Saccharomyces cerevisiae S288C: one gene and its partners. Changing the gene in region 1 together with any one later gene gives a genetic interaction. Each region holds a gene or a part of one and is shown in the gene's direction. Other genes may lie near its edges. The genes, in order: VAS1, IDP2, SER3 and GND1.

What was found.
Region 2: mutations in VAS1 (region 1) and IDP2 together harm fitness more than expected from each alone (negative genetic interaction), as found in Saccharomyces cerevisiae (one large-scale study listed by BioGRID).
Region 3: mutations in VAS1 (region 1) and SER3 together harm fitness more than expected from each alone (negative genetic interaction), as found in Saccharomyces cerevisiae (one large-scale study listed by BioGRID).
Region 4: mutations in VAS1 (region 1) and GND1 together harm fitness more than expected from each alone (negative genetic interaction), as found in Saccharomyces cerevisiae (one large-scale study listed by BioGRID).

Annotation. Positions count from the first base shown.
Region 1 is NC_001139.9:669,898-676,365, forward strand, and holds VAS1 (valine--tRNA ligase), read left to right. Parts: upstream 1-2,288; coding exon 2,289-5,603; downstream 5,604-6,468. Other genes in the region: serine/threonine-protein kinase DBF2, read left to right, coding at 1-10; DRN1 (Drn1p), read left to right, coding at 491-2,014; exosome non-catalytic core subunit RRP46, read right to left, coding at 5,774-6,445.
Region 2 is NC_001144.5:502,799-506,931, forward strand, and holds IDP2 (isocitrate dehydrogenase (NADP(+)) IDP2), read left to right. Parts: upstream 1-1,792; coding exon 1,793-3,031; downstream 3,032-4,133. Other genes in the region: TAG1 (Tag1p), read left to right, coding at 1-1,449; pseudouridine synthase CBF5, read left to right, coding at 3,336-4,133. UniProt on the Saccharomyces cerevisiae protein: May function in the production of NADPH for fatty acid and sterol synthesis.
Region 3 is NC_001137.3:320,880-325,100, forward strand, and holds SER3 (phosphoglycerate dehydrogenase SER3), read left to right. Parts: upstream 1-1,806; coding exon 1,807-3,216; downstream 3,217-4,221. Other genes in the region: AIM9 (Aim9p), read left to right, coding at 1-967; UTP7 (Utp7p), read right to left, coding at 3,393-4,221. UniProt on the Saccharomyces cerevisiae protein: Catalyzes the reversible oxidation of 3-phospho-D-glycerate to 3-phosphonooxypyruvate, the first step of the phosphorylated L-serine biosynthesis pathway. Also catalyzes the reversible oxidation of 2-hydroxyglutarate to 2-oxoglutarate.
Region 4 is NC_001140.6:468,438-472,929, forward strand, and holds GND1 (phosphogluconate dehydrogenase (decarboxylating) GND1), read left to right. Parts: upstream 1-2,522; coding exon 2,523-3,992; downstream 3,993-4,492. Other genes in the region: RGD3 (Rgd3p), read left to right, coding at 1-2,139; SSP1 (Ssp1p), read left to right, coding at 4,307-4,492. UniProt on the Saccharomyces cerevisiae protein: Catalyzes the oxidative decarboxylation of 6-phosphogluconate to ribulose 5-phosphate and CO(2), with concomitant reduction of NADP to NADPH.

The DNA of each region.
Region 1 (6,468 bases):
CTTTTACTAGCGTAAAAATGAATTCTTGTCTTGCATTCGCCGCGATATAATTAGCTTTAACGAGCTTCATGCAAACTTTTCAACTAGCACCTATGAACGCTTTTTTCATAAATATACATATATATATATATAGTTGTGCATTACTTAGGACTTCAAGCCCATTGTTTAAAATCTCAGTTCACGGTAACGGTCCATCCCATGACCGTTTTGAACTAAACTTAAGCATTCATGTTGGGAGCGGCGAAACTTGGTAATGTTTTACAGGAAAACAGCAATGACCACTATTAATCGAAAATCTGCAAAAAATGAAAAGGAATGGGTGTTAACATCAATTGTTTTTTCAATGATAATTACAAATTGGACTGATACTACATTGCTAGATGTACAAAAAACGCAAGGTAGCTCTCTTAGAAGGATCCATAATATATAAAAAAGGGCTTATGGTTTACTGATATCTTTTTCACTTCAAAAACTTACATATAAAAATAGGATGACAAATGCAAAGATTTTAGTAGCTCATATAAGTGAAAGCGATGCCGATGAGGCTATCAGAAAGATCAAGAAAGTGAATGAAAAATCAGGGCCCTTTGATCTAATAATTATATTCAGTAACTCGTATGATGAAAATTTTGAGCTGAATACTGATGGGTTACCTCAACTAATACTACTATCGTGTGATAAGGCTAACAATTCGAAATCCAAAAAGATAAATGAAAATGTAACATTGCTGCATAATATGGGTACTTATAAATTAGCAAATGGAATCACTCTTTCATATTTTATTTATCCGGATGATACTCTTCAAGGGGAGAAAAAAAGCATACTGGACGAATTTGGCAAAAGTGAGGATCAGGTAGACATTCTCCTTACAAAAGAATGGGGCCTTTCGATCTCTGAGAGATGTGGAAGGTTGTCTGGAAGTGAAGTTGTTGATGAATTGGCGAAAAAGTTACAAGCAAGGTACCATTTTGCCTTTTCAGATGAAATAAACTTTTACGAATTAGAGCCTTTCCAGTGGGAAAGAGAGCGCTTATCGAGGTTCCTCAATATTCCAAAATATGGATCTGGAAAGAAATGGGCCTATGCATTCAATATGCCAATAGGGGACAACGAACTAAAGGATGAACCTGAACCGCCCAACTTGATAGCTAACCCGTATAATAGCGTGGTTACAAACAGCAATAAAAGGCCACTAGAAACAGAAACAGAGAATTCGTTCGATGGAGACAAACAGGTACTTGCTAATAGAGAAAAGAATGAAAATAAAAAAATTCGAACGATTTTGCCGTCAAGTTGTCATTTCTGCTTTTCAAATCCAAACCTCGAGGATCATATGATAATATCAATCGGCAAACTAGTGTATTTAACCACAGCGAAGGGACCTTTAAGTGTTCCTAAGGGTGATATGGATATCTCAGGCCATTGCCTCATTATTCCCATTGAACATATTCCGAAATTAGATCCAAGCAAGAACGCAGAGTTGACACAGAGTATTTTGGCTTATGAAGCTAGTCTTGTGAAGATGAACTACATAAAATTTGATATGTGCACGATTGTCTTCGAAATACAGTCTGAACGTTCTATTCATTTCCACAAACAAGTTATTCCCGTTCCAAAATACCTCGTTCTAAAGTTCTGCAGTGCCTTAGATAGACAGGTTCATTTCAATAACGAAAAATTCACAAGAAATGCTAAGCTAGAGTTCCAATGTTACGATTCACACTCTTCCAAACAATATGTGGATGTAATTAACAACCAATCCAATAATTATTTACAATTTACCGTCTACGAGACTCCTGAAGCGGACCCAAAGATATATTTGGCCACATTTAATGCCAGTGAGACAATAGATCTGCAGTTTGGACGACGTGTACTAGCCTTTTTACTTAACTTGCCACGCAGGGTGAAATGGAATTCTTCAACCTGTTTACAAACTAAGCAACAAGAGACTATAGAGGCTGAAAAGTTTCAAAAGGCCTACAGGACCTATGACATTTCTCTCACAGAAAACTAAACTAAAACTATTTCATTTAGAATTTCAAATATATCCAAATATATGTATATATATGTAGAATACTAAGTCATGCTACCTCTGAACGTTTAAGAGACCTAGCAACTCAGAGGTGATGAATTAAAAGAAAAACCGGGTAAAGTTCTTCGAGAGACCGCGCTGAAAAAATTTTTTTAGAAGAGTCACCCATACAGCCTACTGGTGTTCTCTGTGTGTGCTACCACTGGCTGTCATCGTTGTTGTATGTCCTTCAGATTTATGGAATTACTTAGATGGTATGAATAAGTGGTTAAACACATTATCTAAGACATTCACTTTTCGGCTTTTGAACTGTCATTATAGGCGATCATTACCACTTTGTCAAAACTTTTCTCTGAAGAAGTCGTTAACTCATAATCAAGTCAGGTTCTTTAAAATGAGCGATCTTGATAATTTGCCTCCAGTTGACCCAAAGACTGGTGAGGTCATCATTAATCCGTTAAAGGAAGATGGCTCTCCAAAGACTCCTAAGGAAATTGAAAAAGAGAAGAAAAAGGCTGAAAAACTGTTAAAGTTCGCTGCCAAACAAGCTAAAAAAAATGCTGCTGCCACCACAGGTGCATCTCAAAAGAAACCTAAGAAAAAGAAGGAAGTTGAGCCAATCCCTGAATTTATTGACAAAACTGTTCCAGGTGAGAAAAAAATCTTAGTATCCTTGGATGATCCGGCTTTAAAAGCTTATAACCCTGCTAACGTTGAAAGTTCTTGGTATGACTGGTGGATCAAGACTGGTGTTTTTGAACCTGAGTTTACCGCTGATGGTAAGGTTAAACCAGAAGGTGTATTTTGCATTCCAGCACCTCCACCAAACGTCACTGGTGCCTTACATATTGGTCATGCTTTGACTATTGCTATCCAAGATTCTTTGATCAGATATAACAGAATGAAAGGTAAAACTGTCTTATTCTTGCCAGGTTTCGACCATGCTGGTATTGCTACTCAGTCCGTTGTGGAGAAGCAAATCTGGGCTAAGGACAGAAAGACTAGACATGACTATGGAAGAGAAGCTTTTGTTGGTAAGGTCTGGGAATGGAAAGAGGAATACCATAGCAGAATTAAGAACCAAATTCAAAAATTGGGGGCTTCTTATGATTGGAGCCGCGAAGCTTTCACTTTGAGTCCAGAATTGACCAAGTCTGTTGAAGAAGCTTTTGTTAGACTACATGATGAAGGTGTTATTTATCGTGCGTCCAGATTAGTTAATTGGTCTGTTAAATTGAATACCGCTATCTCTAATTTGGAAGTCGAAAATAAGGACGTTAAAAGTAGAACGCTTTTATCAGTCCCAGGCTATGATGAAAAGGTTGAATTTGGTGTTTTAACATCATTTGCTTATCCAGTTATCGGTAGCGATGAAAAACTGATCATTGCTACAACTAGACCTGAAACTATATTTGGTGATACTGCCGTTGCAGTTCATCCTGATGATGACCGTTACAAACACTTGCATGGTAAGTTCATCCAACATCCTTTCTTACCAAGAAAAATTCCAATTATCACCGACAAGGAAGCTGTTGACATGGAATTCGGTACTGGTGCCGTTAAGATCACTCCAGCCCATGACCAAAACGATTACAATACCGGTAAGCGTCACAATTTGGAATTCATCAATATTTTGACTGACGATGGTTTATTAAACGAGGAGTGTGGTCCAGAGTGGCAAGGCATGAAGAGGTTTGATGCCAGAAAGAAGGTCATTGAGCAGCTGAAGGAAAAGAACCTATACGTTGGCCAAGAAGATAATGAAATGACCATTCCAACTTGTTCCAGATCTGGTGACATTATTGAACCTTTATTGAAACCTCAATGGTGGGTTTCTCAAAGTGAAATGGCCAAAGATGCTATTAAGGTTGTTAGGGATGGTCAAATTACCATCACCCCCAAATCTTCTGAGGCTGAATATTTCCATTGGTTGGGTAACATCCAAGATTGGTGTATTTCCAGACAATTATGGTGGGGTCATCGTTGTCCAGTTTACTTTATTAATATCGAAGGCGAAGAACACGATAGAATTGATGGTGACTATTGGGTTGCTGGTAGGAGCATGGAGGAAGCTGAAAAGAAGGCTGCTGCCAAATACCCTAATTCCAAATTTACTCTGGAACAAGATGAAGATGTTTTAGACACCTGGTTCTCGTCCGGTTTGTGGCCTTTCTCCACTTTGGGTTGGCCAGAGAAGACTAAAGACATGGAAACTTTTTACCCCTTTTCTATGTTGGAAACTGGTTGGGATATTCTTTTCTTCTGGGTTACTAGAATGATTCTATTGGGCTTAAAATTGACCGGTTCAGTTCCATTCAAGGAAGTTTTCTGCCACTCTTTAGTCCGTGACGCTCAAGGTCGTAAGATGTCTAAATCTTTAGGTAATGTTATTGACCCACTAGACGTTATTACTGGTATTAAGTTGGATGATTTGCATGCAAAATTATTACAAGGTAACTTAGATCCAAGAGAAGTTGAAAAAGCTAAGATCGGTCAAAAGGAATCCTACCCTAACGGTATTCCTCAATGTGGTACCGATGCTATGAGGTTTGCATTATGTGCTTATACCACTGGTGGTCGTGATATTAACTTAGATATCTTACGTGTCGAAGGTTACAGAAAGTTCTGTAACAAAATCTACCAAGCTACCAAGTTTGCATTGATGAGACTCGGTGACGATTATCAACCACCTGCCACTGAAGGTCTATCAGGTAACGAATCCTTGGTTGAAAAATGGATCTTGCACAAGCTGACTGAAACCTCGAAAATTGTCAATGAAGCTCTAGATAAACGTGACTTCTTGACGTCCACTAGCAGTATTTACGAATTCTGGTATTTGATTTGTGATGTTTACATCGAGAACTCTAAATACTTGATTCAAGAAGGCTCTGCTATTGAAAAGAAGTCCGCAAAGGATACATTGTATATCTTGCTGGACAACGCTTTGAAATTAATCCATCCATTCATGCCATTCATTTCTGAAGAAATGTGGCAAAGACTTCCAAAGCGTTCCACTGAGAAGGCTGCCTCAATTGTAAAAGCTTCTTATCCAGTTTACGTATCTGAGTACGATGATGTCAAATCGGCCAATGCTTACGACTTGGTCTTGAACATTACCAAAGAAGCTCGTTCCTTGTTATCTGAGTACAATATTTTGAAGAATGGTAAGGTTTTCGTTGAATCTAACCACGAGGAATACTTCAAAACTGCTGAAGATCAGAAAGATTCTATTGTCTCGTTGATCAAGGCCATCGACGAAGTCACTGTTGTTCGTGATGCTTCCGAAATTCCAGAAGGTTGCGTATTGCAATCTGTTAACCCAGAAGTCAATGTACATCTTCTCGTCAAGGGACACGTTGATATTGATGCTGAAATTGCGAAAGTTCAAAAGAAACTTGAAAAGGCTAAAAAATCCAAGAACGGTATTGAACAAACCATTAACAGTAAGGATTACGAAACAAAGGCTAATACACAGGCCAAGGAAGCCAATAAAAGCAAGCTGGATAACACTGTTGCCGAAATCGAAGGTTTGGAAGCTACTATTGAAAACTTGAAGCGTTTGAAATTGTAGATTGAAGGTAGATAAAAATTAATGTAATATATATATATATATATGCTATGTATATGTAACAACGAAAATGTTAAGAATTTTAGAACATTGAATAATAACTATTTCCAAATATAAGAGGTAGTCTCCGGCATACGACATAGCATGTTGTGGTATATTATAATCTATAATGGCTATACAACTAGACGAGGTGATATATTGTCCTGTATTATTCTTCTTATATTTGTGACAAGTTCTTGACACTTTTGCTCACCCAGCTCCAGTAAACTGAACAATTGATCTTCATTAAAATCACCATTGCTGTCTAACAATAAAACGTTTTTCACGACTTTACCGCCATTGACGAACTCCAGAGCTAAAGTGTGGACAGAGAGCGAAATCTTCAATTGCTCGGCAGTGGGATCGACAATGATATCACTAGTGTCTTTGATTATTGCAATAGGGATGCTTGCGCACATACTATTTAAGGCAATTCCTGCATCAACTAAAGCCAAAAATGCCGCATTTATACAACAACTTAGCTCTCTCAGGGAGAATTCGGCTTCATCTTCACCAGATTCCAGAATTTGACAAGTTATCTGGCAGAGCTGTCTTGGGTAACAATGACGAGTGATGAGTGGGGTCAGAACTGCCCGTAATTTATCTTCGAGTACCTTCTCTCTTGTTGTGGCCACCCCTTTCGCGGGACGTACAATAATTTCTAATGCTAATTGTGTAGGCAGTTCTTGTCTTGCTTTTGGTTCAATAGGGCCTGTTACAGAACAAATAACCTTGGTGTCTTGTGATACGAATTCAGATGAACCATCTACATGATCTAATATCCCTATTTCTGCTTGGACGCTCATTTTTTTTTTTTTTTCAGCAGAAT
Region 2 (4,133 bases), on another chromosome or scaffold:
TCTCAAATTTGGTTCGATTATGACAAATGGCCAGGAACGGAAAATGACTCGGACGCCAGAAGCCAACGTGACTGGATACGGTACATCAATGAAAAAGTTCTTAAAACCATTTGTATAGATCTGAATAACGTGACCACATTCGATGGAGATCTAGTGTTCAAGAATAAACTGGGAGATGTTGTTGGCATGGAACCCATTTGTTTTAATTTGGCTCACCGACAGATTAATAACCTACAGTTCAAAATTTTAGTTAAACCGTCTATTTGGAAAATCGTAAAAGTTTTGAAAAAATTTTGGAATAGGGATTTTGAATCCTTAAATATAAAATCGAATTTAGATATGACTATCTTCAAGAGAAAATTTGGCACGAGGTTTAATTTATTGAAACTTAATGACGAAATCTTAGATTGGAAAGATATTATTGATTGGGAAAAAATATCGGCAACGCCCCTTCGGATGATTCAAAATATGATCGATGGAATATCTCTTCAAGGATTTACATTGCGGGACTCCAGTTCTGATGGATTTCATGCCGATATGAGACTGAATCCGATCACGATTCTTGGAGGGGTGGACTGGCTTCACCTTCCGCCAGGCACGTCAATCCCTTTCATCAATTGGGAAATCAAGCTACCGGACTGTAACGGTGAGCCTGCTATCGCAATTCCAACCTTGTCTTGCTTTAACGAACCGATTAATCTGCACCACGACAAGGATAATATCGTCGTCTGTTTACAAAATGAAATTGAAGGTCCTCTGCCCGATGAACTACTATACCAAGAATGTCCTCAAAATAGTCTTACACCAATGAGCCAAATAGTGAATGCGGTCCTGAACCAGAACGAGACTGTTACGTTCGCAGCAAGAGGCCATGTCCTTGAAGATGGTATAGATAATAACTCATTGATTCCAGCAGACATGCTGGAGGATATTTTCCAAGAAGCATCGTTTATTCCCATTACTACCAATGCTACGTTTAACTCCAGTGAATTGATTCAAGAGTTTCAGATCAACGATCTTCAGCTACGGTGGGCAGCGCGCAAAAAGCTCAGTCTTGTGGGGACATTTTTAGGATTCTTTGATCTATCCTTCTACGAGACGCACCAGCAAGACCGAGTTCGCATCGATACCATTCGGGGACAGATCGATCTGTACCATAACGACATCAATTTCTTAAACTTACCCATGAAGCAATGGATCAACTCTTCATCGCACATTCTGCACGATGAGGACACAGGAAATACGCAGATGAAGCTTCAATTTGATCTAGAAAATGACGACATGGAAGTCGTCAATAGCTTGGAACTAACACGAACCCTGAACGAAATACTATTCCAGGGTTTTACAGTTATTCACTTTAATGCGACGATAGATGCGTCACTTACGACGGCATTGGGCCCGTGGGTTCTCACCGGGTTAGCCGGAGAGGGTGACACTTTGGTCACGTGAACGTCTATCTATTTATTTTTATAACTCCGGGATGTCATTGCCGGTGGTCCGAAAATCGGCAAATAAGGAAATAAGGGAAGAATATGCAGTAGTCAAATCATCAGTGTTCTCTTTGATACCTTTCAGGGCTAGGAATAGTGGGGGTGGAGTATAATATCAAAAACCGGACTTAACATTATTGGTTCGGTTGGAATTGGCTATAGGCAAACTAGTCTCCGGCATGATATATAAATGACAGCCTGCAATTGTATGTTACTACACTCTTGACTTGTCGACTACAGTCGCTGCTCAGGCACGAGAATAGGAGGTAAGAAGGTAACGTACGTATATATATAAAATCGTAATGACAAAGATTAAGGTAGCTAACCCCATTGTGGAAATGGACGGCGATGAGCAAACAAGAATAATCTGGCATTTAATCAGGGACAAGTTAGTCTTGCCCTATCTTGACGTTGATTTGAAGTACTACGATCTTTCCGTGGAGTATCGTGACCAGACTAATGATCAAGTAACTGTGGATTCTGCCACCGCGACTTTAAAGTATGGAGTAGCTGTCAAATGCGCGACTATTACACCCGATGAGGCAAGGGTCGAGGAATTTCATTTGAAAAAGATGTGGAAATCTCCAAATGGTACTATTAGAAACATTTTGGGTGGTACAGTGTTCAGAGAACCTATTATTATCCCTAGAATTCCAAGGCTAGTTCCTCAATGGGAGAAGCCCATCATCATTGGGAGACACGCATTCGGCGATCAGTACAAAGCTACCGATGTAATAGTCCCTGAAGAAGGCGAGTTGAGGCTTGTTTATAAATCCAAGAGCGGAACTCATGATGTAGATCTGAAGGTATTTGACTACCCAGAACATGGTGGGGTTGCCATGATGATGTACAACACTACAGATTCGATCGAAGGGTTTGCGAAGGCCTCCTTTGAATTGGCCATTGAAAGGAAGTTACCATTATATTCCACTACTAAGAATACTATTTTGAAGAAGTATGATGGTAAATTCAAAGATGTTTTCGAAGCCATGTATGCTAGAAGTTATAAAGAGAAGTTTGAATCCCTTGGCATCTGGTACGAGCACCGTTTAATTGATGATATGGTGGCCCAAATGTTGAAATCTAAAGGTGGATACATAATTGCCATGAAAAATTACGACGGTGACGTAGAATCAGATATTGTTGCACAAGGATTTGGCTCCTTGGGGTTAATGACATCTGTGTTGATTACCCCGGACGGTAAAACCTTTGAAAGCGAAGCCGCCCACGGTACAGTAACAAGACATTTTAGACAGCATCAGCAAGGAAAGGAGACGTCAACAAATTCCATTGCATCAATTTTCGCGTGGACTAGAGGTATTATTCAAAGGGGTAAACTTGATAATACTCCAGATGTAGTTAAGTTCGGCCAAATATTGGAAAGCGCTACGGTAAATACAGTGCAAGAAGATGGAATCATGACTAAAGATTTGGCGCTCATTCTCGGTAAGTCTGAAAGATCCGCTTATGTCACTACCGAGGAGTTCATTGACGCGGTGGAATCTAGATTGAAAAAAGAGTTCGAGGCAGCTGCATTGTAAACTTACTCAATGACAGATTGATTTATTTATATTATATATTCCCTTTTTATCGAAAAACTTTTAGTATTTTCTACTCGTAACATATGATCTTCTGTTCTCACTGAAAATTTTTCTTTCTTCTTTTCCCTCTTCGCAAAAAGAAAATGCTGAAAAAATTTGAAAAATTTTCAAATGATGAGATGTTTAGCTTAGGAAAAATATAATGTAAAGATAGTTTTCAGAACATTTTTTATTGGTTTTTTTTTTTAAAGATTCATTATCATCTGGAGTTCGTTACAACCTACACAGAGGACCGATATACACAATGTCAAAGGAGGATTTCGTTATTAAGCCTGAAGCTGCAGGTGCTTCCACTGACACTAGTGAATGGCCATTACTTTTGAAGAATTTTGATAAGTTATTAGTCAGAAGTGGTCATTATACCCCTATCCCAGCTGGTAGTTCACCACTAAAGAGAGACCTGAAATCATATATCAGCTCTGGTGTCATTAATCTAGATAAACCTTCCAACCCATCATCGCACGAAGTTGTAGCTTGGATCAAAAGAATCTTACGTTGTGAGAAGACTGGTCACTCTGGTACATTGGATCCAAAAGTTACAGGTTGTTTGATTGTTTGTATTGACAGAGCTACCAGGTTGGTTAAGTCTCAACAAGGTGCTGGTAAGGAGTATGTGTGTATTGTCAGATTGCATGATGCTTTGAAGGATGAAAAGGATTTGGGCCGCTCACTAGAAAACTTGACCGGTGCGCTTTTCCAAAGACCTCCTTTAATCTCTGCTGTTAAGAGACAATTACGTGTTCGTACTATCTATGAGTCAAACTTGATTGAGTTCGATAACAAGAGAAACTTAGGTGTTTTCTGGGCTTCCTGTGAAGCTGGTACTTATATGCGTACTTTGTGTGTTCATTTAGGTATGCTATTAGGTGTTGGTGGTCACATGCAAGAATTGCGTCGTGTTAGATCCGGTGCTCTGTCTGAAAATGACAACATGGTCACTTTACATGATGTTATGGATGCCCAATGGGTTTACGACAATACAAGAGATGAATCTTACTTGAGATCCATTATTCAACCTTTAGAAACTCTATTGGTTGGTTAC
Region 3 (4,221 bases), on another chromosome or scaffold:
GAAAATTGGGCCATCCGTGGAAAGATGTCTCTGGAGACATAAATCTCACTTGGATTTTCATAAACAAATGAAACCTTTTTTGGGACCATGGCCAAAGAAGTCTCCAATGGATATAATTAAAAATACTGGCCTATTGGAAGCTGAAAATGCTAAAACTAGAATAGCCATGAAAGAGGCAGGAAGTTCAGCTGAATTGATGTATCCTCGAACTTTGAAGGAGCAAATAACTACCTATGAAAATTTAGCTAAGATTGCCCCGGATTTATTCAACGTCAAAACAAAGGCCATTCCAAATATGCAGGAACTATTGTCACCACGTTTGTTTCATCCTGATCTAGACCCCATGAATATTATTGTTAACAAAGAAGCACAAGAAGCCTATCTATTAGATTTTGAAGGAGCATGCACAAAACCTTTCATTTTACAGAATTCGCCACAATTCATCGCCTATGATGGGCCCAAGATTTATGACTTAAAGGAGGACATAACCGATTTTGACAAATTATCTGAGGCGGAAAAGGTGCAATATCAGTTCATGTACAAGCGCACCCGTAATCAACATCAATGGGAGAAAAAATTAAATGACAATAATCCTAAATTAATTACTGCAGTTGCCCCACCTGTTAAGCTACTGAGAAGCCCATATATTGCAGCTGTCGAAAGAAAAACGGAAGAAGAGTATTTACTTATTGATGAATCACTATTGCAATTGAAGGAAGTTTGGGACATCTTTGCCCAGAATGAGTTAGTGAATCAGAAAAAGTTTCCTCTAAACTATAGTAAAGAAGATATTGAAAGACATGTTGAGGATTTGCAAAAATTACACGAAAAGCTAATCTCTACACCATTTGCTGCCACTCAAGGGTGGATTCCTCAAGATATGTTTGATCAACTATTAAATTCCGGCAGTATTGTTAAGCAAGAGAACGGAGACTACACCGTGAAGCAACCTGAAGCTACCAAATAATCTATACTAAAAATGAAATATTTTTTTGTTTTCTTTACCTCATTCAACTGTATAGAACGTTATAACAAAATAATCAAGTTAAAACCCTTTTTTGTACACAATGGAATCTCTTCCATTTACTAATCAACTTAACAATGCTGGATTGGATATATTGATAACGTTTTAAAAAGCGTTGCGTGATGTTTGGGTGCAATTGGCGGAAAAGCGGAACTTTCAAATTTACGATAGGTGGAGATACATCTCCACCTTTCTCCCCATTATCTTTGAATTTTCCTCAAATATATAAAGAGAACAACAAATCCATAGAAATGCCATTGTTTAATCCTGATTATCTACATTGTTTTAGTTTTTTACTCACAATCGAGTAATGCCTTTGTTTGGCCAAGCTATGTGCAAATATCACAAATTAAAAATTTGGTTAAGCAGTTAGGCTGGACCTAATATTTTAGAAAAACCTAATTTTTTTTGTGGACCCATTTTCGATATTTACTCACAAATGGAATTCAAGGGGAACAACTTCGGTCTCAGCACTTTAATTATTCTTCTCGTTCCCACCTAATTTCGCAATTTATTGTCCTTGACTTCTACCACGAGAAAAAAATTAAGAAAATGCAACGCTGCCCGTGCAGGGTTTTCTGAGCGGGATGAAAAAATCAGACAAATATCCAAGTTATGAGTAATTACTTTGTTGGAAGGAGGGAGCAGAGGATAAGGAAATTCTTAAAACTGTTATGTATATAAAGGAAGAACCATTTCTAGTTATTTCACTTTTTGATACTTGTCAACTATCTTAGTAAAAATACAGAACTCTATAAAGAACCACAGAAAAATCGACAGCAATGACAAGCATTGACATTAACAACTTACAAAATACCTTTCAACAAGCTATGAATATGAGCGGCTCCCCAGGCGCTGTTTGTACTTCACCTACGCAATCTTTCATGAATACCGTTCCACAGCGCTTGAATGCTGTAAAGCACCCAAAAATTTTGAAGCCTTTCTCAACGGGTGATATGAAGATTTTACTATTAGAAAACGTTAATCAAACTGCTATTACAATCTTCGAAGAGCAAGGTTACCAAGTCGAATTCTATAAATCTTCATTGCCCGAGGAAGAGTTGATCGAAAAGATCAAGGACGTTCATGCTATTGGTATCAGATCAAAGACTAGATTAACTTCAAATGTCTTACAACATGCGAAGAATCTGGTTTGTATTGGTTGTTTCTGTATCGGTACCAACCAAGTTGACTTAGACTACGCTACCAGCAGAGGTATTGCTGTTTTCAACTCGCCTTTCTCCAACTCAAGATCAGTAGCAGAATTGGTCATCGCTGAAATCATTAGTTTAGCAAGACAACTAGGTGATAGATCTATCGAATTACATACCGGTACATGGAATAAGGTTGCTGCTAGATGTTGGGAGGTAAGAGGAAAAACTCTTGGTATTATTGGGTACGGTCACATTGGTTCCCAATTATCAGTTCTTGCAGAAGCTATGGGTTTGCATGTGTTGTACTACGATATTGTAACTATCATGGCCTTGGGTACTGCCAGACAAGTTTCTACATTAGATGAATTGTTGAATAAATCTGATTTTGTGACACTACATGTACCAGCTACTCCTGAAACTGAAAAAATGTTATCTGCCCCACAATTTGCTGCTATGAAGGATGGCGCTTATGTTATTAATGCTTCAAGAGGTACTGTCGTGGACATTCCATCTTTGATCCAAGCCGTGAAAGCCAACAAAATTGCAGGTGCTGCTTTGGATGTTTATCCACATGAACCAGCTAAGAACGGTGAAGGTTCATTTAACGATGAGCTAAATAGCTGGACTTCTGAATTAGTTTCATTACCAAATATCATCTTGACACCACACATTGGTGGCTCTACCGAAGAAGCCCAAAGCTCAATCGGTATTGAAGTGGCTACCGCATTGTCCAAATACATCAATGAAGGTAACTCTGTCGGTTCAGTCAACTTCCCAGAAGTGGCATTGAAATCATTGTCTTACGACCAAGAGAACACTGTGCGTGTGTTATACATTCACCAAAATGTACCAGGTGTTTTGAAGACCGTCAATGATATTTTATCGAACCATAACATCGAAAAGCAATTTTCCGATTCAAATGGTGAAATTGCTTATTTAATGGCTGATATCTCTTCTGTTGACCAAAGCGATATTAAAGATATTTATGAACAACTAAATCAAACCTCTGCTAAGATCTCAATTAGATTGCTATATTAATATGCAATCGATTCTCATACTGTCAACTTTTTGAACATGATTAAAAGTTTCCTATAAAATATTAAAAAGAACCAAAAAAAAAATGGATAGAAGAATGCTTGAGGCAATAATAATGATTATCTATTTTATATATACATACATAATCATTTAAGTTTTTTTTTTAAAGATATTTCGATTTAGCCGAATCTGCTCAATGCCTCTTCGATGACATCCTTGTGGTCTTCTGAAATTAGGCCTTGTTTGATTTGGTGGTTTCTTTTACGAATATTTTTCTCCTTATCCAGTTGTTTCTGTACTCTTAATTTTCTTTCATCAATAACGTTTTGAGTCTTTTTACGCAAAAAGGAACGCAAACCCGAATTCTTACCTTTCACATCAGGTTTTACATCTGGAATGTCGCTGTTGGTTTTGGCTTTATTATTAGCATCCATTGTAGTTTGCGCCAAATCCTTAGCGTTTAACCTTATGGTAGAAGACCTTTTATCCACTGAACCGATGGAATTCGGATCTAAAGTAATTGTATCTGCTGGCAGTTTGTTCAATAGGGTTCTGACTTCCTGTTCCTGTCTTTGTTTTTTGGTTTCGAATGGGTTTAATTCTAAGGCATCGTAATTGGCTTCACCTGCACCAGGTACAATCAAATTCGTAATACCCGTTTGATGGCCTACACCTAGTAAATCTTCAAATGGTACGAATCCCAAATTTTCTACTTTGTTTCCGGCAAACAAATGTGACATGTAAGGGGTGTTTCTATGTGGGTTCCCTCCCATGGACCCGAAGCACGGTTTACTGTCTCCACTTAATTTTAAAGCGTCCTTCCACAACGTAACGTGAGGGCCCCTAGATAATGCCAATAGACCAGTATCTGAAATGGAAACGTTTGTTCCTGGCGTCGGTAAGCTTTCCACAGAATGTAGTTGCTTGAAGTTTCTGATATCCCAAATTTTCATCGACCTATCAGCCCCTGTGGTTGCCATGTAATACCCGCTTCTATCGATAGCAATG
Region 4 (4,492 bases), on another chromosome or scaffold:
TTTTGGAAACCAACATTGAACAATTTACAAAAAATGGAAGCAACCAATTCAATGAATAGCAGGCTGCTGGAAGTGATGAGCAAACAGTTTAATATAATATCAACAGAGCAAGTTGAAAGAGATTGTAAAATTCCATTGCAAGAACTAAGAGATCTTAATGAGAGCTTCCTTCGTGAGGCAGAAAACGATTTGTCATCTCGTTATTCAGCTTACATTAAGGATTTAGTCGCAGCTAAAGAGGCACTAATTGGATGTGAGAAAAGAGTTCAGTCTATATATAAATTGAAAAAAGCCAATACGCCAGTGGAAAATTCTTCCTCTGTTTTTGATAATGGAAAGGATAGTGCACCGTTAACCAGGTTGAACTTCGTATGCGAGTTTCCTTACACTTTAGACGAGAGGTTAAAATTTGAGGATTGCGACCAATTTATGTCATTTTTGCAAACCTTGAAGGGAAAAGTCATCCTGGAGAAAAGTGTCTTTTCCGTTCCAGGATTGTCAAATCAAAGTTTCCAAGGCAGGTCATTGATCAAAGAATTGAAAAAACTTGAACCCAGACTAAACCTGTCCTTATTTAATATCGATAGGATAGGTAACGAATTCATCCAACTGGGTATAATACAAGAATATTCCCTGAGTTTTTACTCTAGCAAAGTTTCTCAGTTTGACCAGGAAAAATACTATTACTGGAACAGTGAAGTCCTTGCTACGCAAGAGAGTAATGGTAATGCTGGAAACAGAAAAAAAAAATCGTATGGTGAGTTAACACACTCCGACAATGAACACGAAGAAAAGTCCAACGTTTCATCTATCAAAACATCTATATCCGATTGGATCCGCAAAGTTAGTCAACATGATAATGATGATTGCGATGCAGCGGGAAGTACAGATATGAATAAAAATGAGTGGAAGAGTTTAAAACAGCAACTTGAATCATCACAAGATATTTTTTTCTCCAAGTGTTGCCAGTTGGAATATTCTAAAGTGCAGTTGGAAAAAACCATTTATGATTATTGTAAAAATTACTCTAAAATGGAGGACGGAATCAAACGAGCTCTAGAATCATCAAACATGATGTTTCAACAAAAATGTGAAAAATTTACTGACTCACCTGTGTGTTCTCTACAAGAAGCACAACTGCCACAGGAAACTGCCAATGCGGATGTAAGAGGGTTTTTCCTCAGGGATAATGGCATACCCTTTCGCAGGTGGAATATCCTAGAAGCGAGTGATCCAGTCGACGCTTGCAAAGAAATCTCCATAAAAAGCGAAAAGTTTTTCTGTGGTAGTGAAATAAATAATGAACTGGCTGCTCTTGATACGTTAGGGGCAATAAAGATTATACTGCGGCAGATTGAAAAGGAACCAAATGCTAATAAAGTCATACAAAGTTGGCACAGGGATATTGATTTTGTAAGGGTTTCTAATTTGAAAAGAGACTTATTGGGGGAATTCAAAGGATCGAAAACTACCGAAAATACAAACTCTATAATCACTGCTCATTTTTTTGAAAACTCGCACAGCTATGTCACTAATGATCTCGTCGGACTGATAAAATTATGGCTGTTAGAGCTACCCGACAGCCTAATACCTTCAAACCACTACGATGACTTAATTAAGGCCGAAAAATCGCTAACATCCCTATGTGAACAGTTTCCGACGAGCTCCTTAAGGTTTCTACAAGAACTAGCAAACCATTTTCAATTGATCAATAGCAAATACTCACTTCCGCCGCAAACAATACAAGATTTGTTTAGAGACAACAGTGACATAGACATACCATTGGCCCATCACTTCGTAAGAAGAACAGGCTTACAGAACCCTATCGACATCAAAATCTTGTCACCAACATTATCTACATTTTTCATCAACGAAAGAACTGTAGAAACTTTGCAAACGTTGATCGCAAACAGGATCACGACGGCAACTACTGCGACACTCACTGAACCGCCGACGATAATTATAAAGGATACAACGGCACCTATACACTCTACCCCTAAGCCACCGCCAAACGACAAGGATGGCCATTTCATACCTCGGCCATTCAAGACTAGTTCTACTCCGACAACCCCAGAGAGACCTAAACGTAAGAGTGGTTTATTCCTTCCCATCAACGTCAACGATGTCCCTTCTACATAACTCCATGCATGCTACATAGTAACTACGTAAATCACCTGCTACCTCTCTGTTCTTTCGTCCCGCCTCGAGGTTGTGCTGCTTTTGTACCTATTGTGGCTGTCGGTGTTACATTACGGTGCCTCGGTGTTACGCGGTGCTTCGTCCTGGTGGTCCACGCGGCCTTGCGCTTTGGCCTTGGTGGGCTTCGAGGCTGTATTATATAAATGGGCCTGATGTTCGTTAAAAGCTGCAGTATTGTTCCTGAGCTTGTTTCTTTTTCAAAGGTTTCCTTTTTTCTTAGTGGGGTCCTTTCTTACATAATAAAGTAAATAGCCTGATACATATAAACCTGTATTGTTGCCATTACAGAAAAAAGCCACTTTCTATACAAAAACTACAATAAAATGTCTGCTGATTTCGGTTTGATTGGTTTGGCCGTCATGGGTCAAAATTTGATCTTGAACGCTGCTGACCACGGTTTCACTGTTTGTGCTTACAACAGAACTCAATCCAAGGTCGACCATTTCTTGGCCAATGAAGCTAAGGGCAAATCTATCATCGGTGCTACTTCCATTGAAGATTTCATCTCCAAATTGAAGAGACCTAGAAAGGTCATGCTTTTGGTTAAAGCTGGTGCTCCAGTTGACGCTTTGATCAACCAAATCGTCCCACTTTTGGAAAAGGGTGATATTATCATCGATGGTGGTAACTCTCACTTCCCAGATTCTAATAGACGTTACGAAGAATTGAAGAAGAAGGGTATTCTTTTCGTTGGTTCTGGTGTCTCCGGTGGTGAGGAAGGTGCCCGTTACGGTCCATCTTTGATGCCAGGTGGTTCTGAAGAAGCTTGGCCACATATTAAGAACATCTTCCAATCCATCTCTGCTAAATCCGACGGTGAACCATGTTGCGAATGGGTTGGCCCAGCCGGTGCTGGTCACTACGTCAAGATGGTTCACAACGGTATTGAATACGGTGATATGCAATTGATTTGTGAAGCTTATGACATCATGAAGAGATTGGGTGGGTTTACCGATAAGGAAATCAGTGACGTTTTTGCCAAATGGAACAATGGTGTCTTGGATTCCTTCTTGGTCGAAATTACCAGAGATATTTTGAAATTCGACGACGTCGACGGTAAGCCATTAGTTGAAAAAATCATGGATACTGCTGGTCAAAAGGGTACTGGTAAGTGGACTGCCATCAACGCCTTGGATTTGGGTATGCCAGTTACTTTGATTGGTGAAGCTGTCTTTGCCCGTTGTCTATCTGCTTTGAAGAACGAGAGAATTAGAGCCTCCAAGGTCTTACCAGGCCCAGAAGTTCCAAAAGACGCCGTCAAGGACAGAGAACAATTTGTCGATGATTTGGAACAAGCTTTGTATGCTTCCAAGATTATTTCTTACGCTCAAGGTTTCATGTTGATCCGTGAAGCTGCTGCTACTTATGGCTGGAAACTAAACAACCCTGCCATCGCTTTGATGTGGAGAGGTGGTTGTATCATTAGATCTGTTTTCTTGGGTCAAATCACAAAGGCCTACAGAGAAGAACCAGATTTGGAAAACTTGTTGTTCAACAAGTTCTTCGCTGATGCCGTCACCAAGGCTCAATCTGGTTGGAGAAAGTCAATTGCGTTGGCTACCACCTACGGTATCCCAACACCAGCCTTTTCCACCGCTTTGTCTTTCTACGATGGGTACAGATCTGAAAGATTGCCAGCCAACTTACTACAAGCTCAACGTGACTACTTTGGTGCTCACACTTTCAGAGTGTTGCCAGAATGTGCTTCTGACAACTTGCCAGTAGACAAGGATATCCATATCAACTGGACTGGCCACGGTGGTAATGTTTCTTCCTCTACATACCAAGCTTAAAGGAAATCTCCAACCTGGACATAAACCAAAAAAATTTAATGAAATAGATTAGTTATAGTAAAAGTAATCATAATAATAAATAGATAAATAAATCCAAATGCAATTATAAATAGTATATGAAGTTATGTGTTTTCTAAAATATTAAAGGTTTATAAACGGGGTCCCGAAACTATCTCCATTTCTTTTTTTTTTTTTACGTAAGGAAAGGCAAACAGGCGACACAAAATCATGAAGTCAGAAAATAAAATAAAAGTGAAAAATTTCACAATAGTGCCTATTATCATGATAGAAGTAGAGTAGAAAAGCTAGCAACAATGAGAAGCTCTGGCACATATGAGAATGATCCTTCTGGGGAAATAACCTCAACTTCCCCAAAGCAGTCGAAGCAGAAAAAGCCTACCAAATTTAGGGAAAGAATGCGCAGGTGGTTACAAAATGGGAAAAATAACAACCACCAAGGAGAGGAGGATGTTCCTGAAATATTTAACAAGAATTTTTAT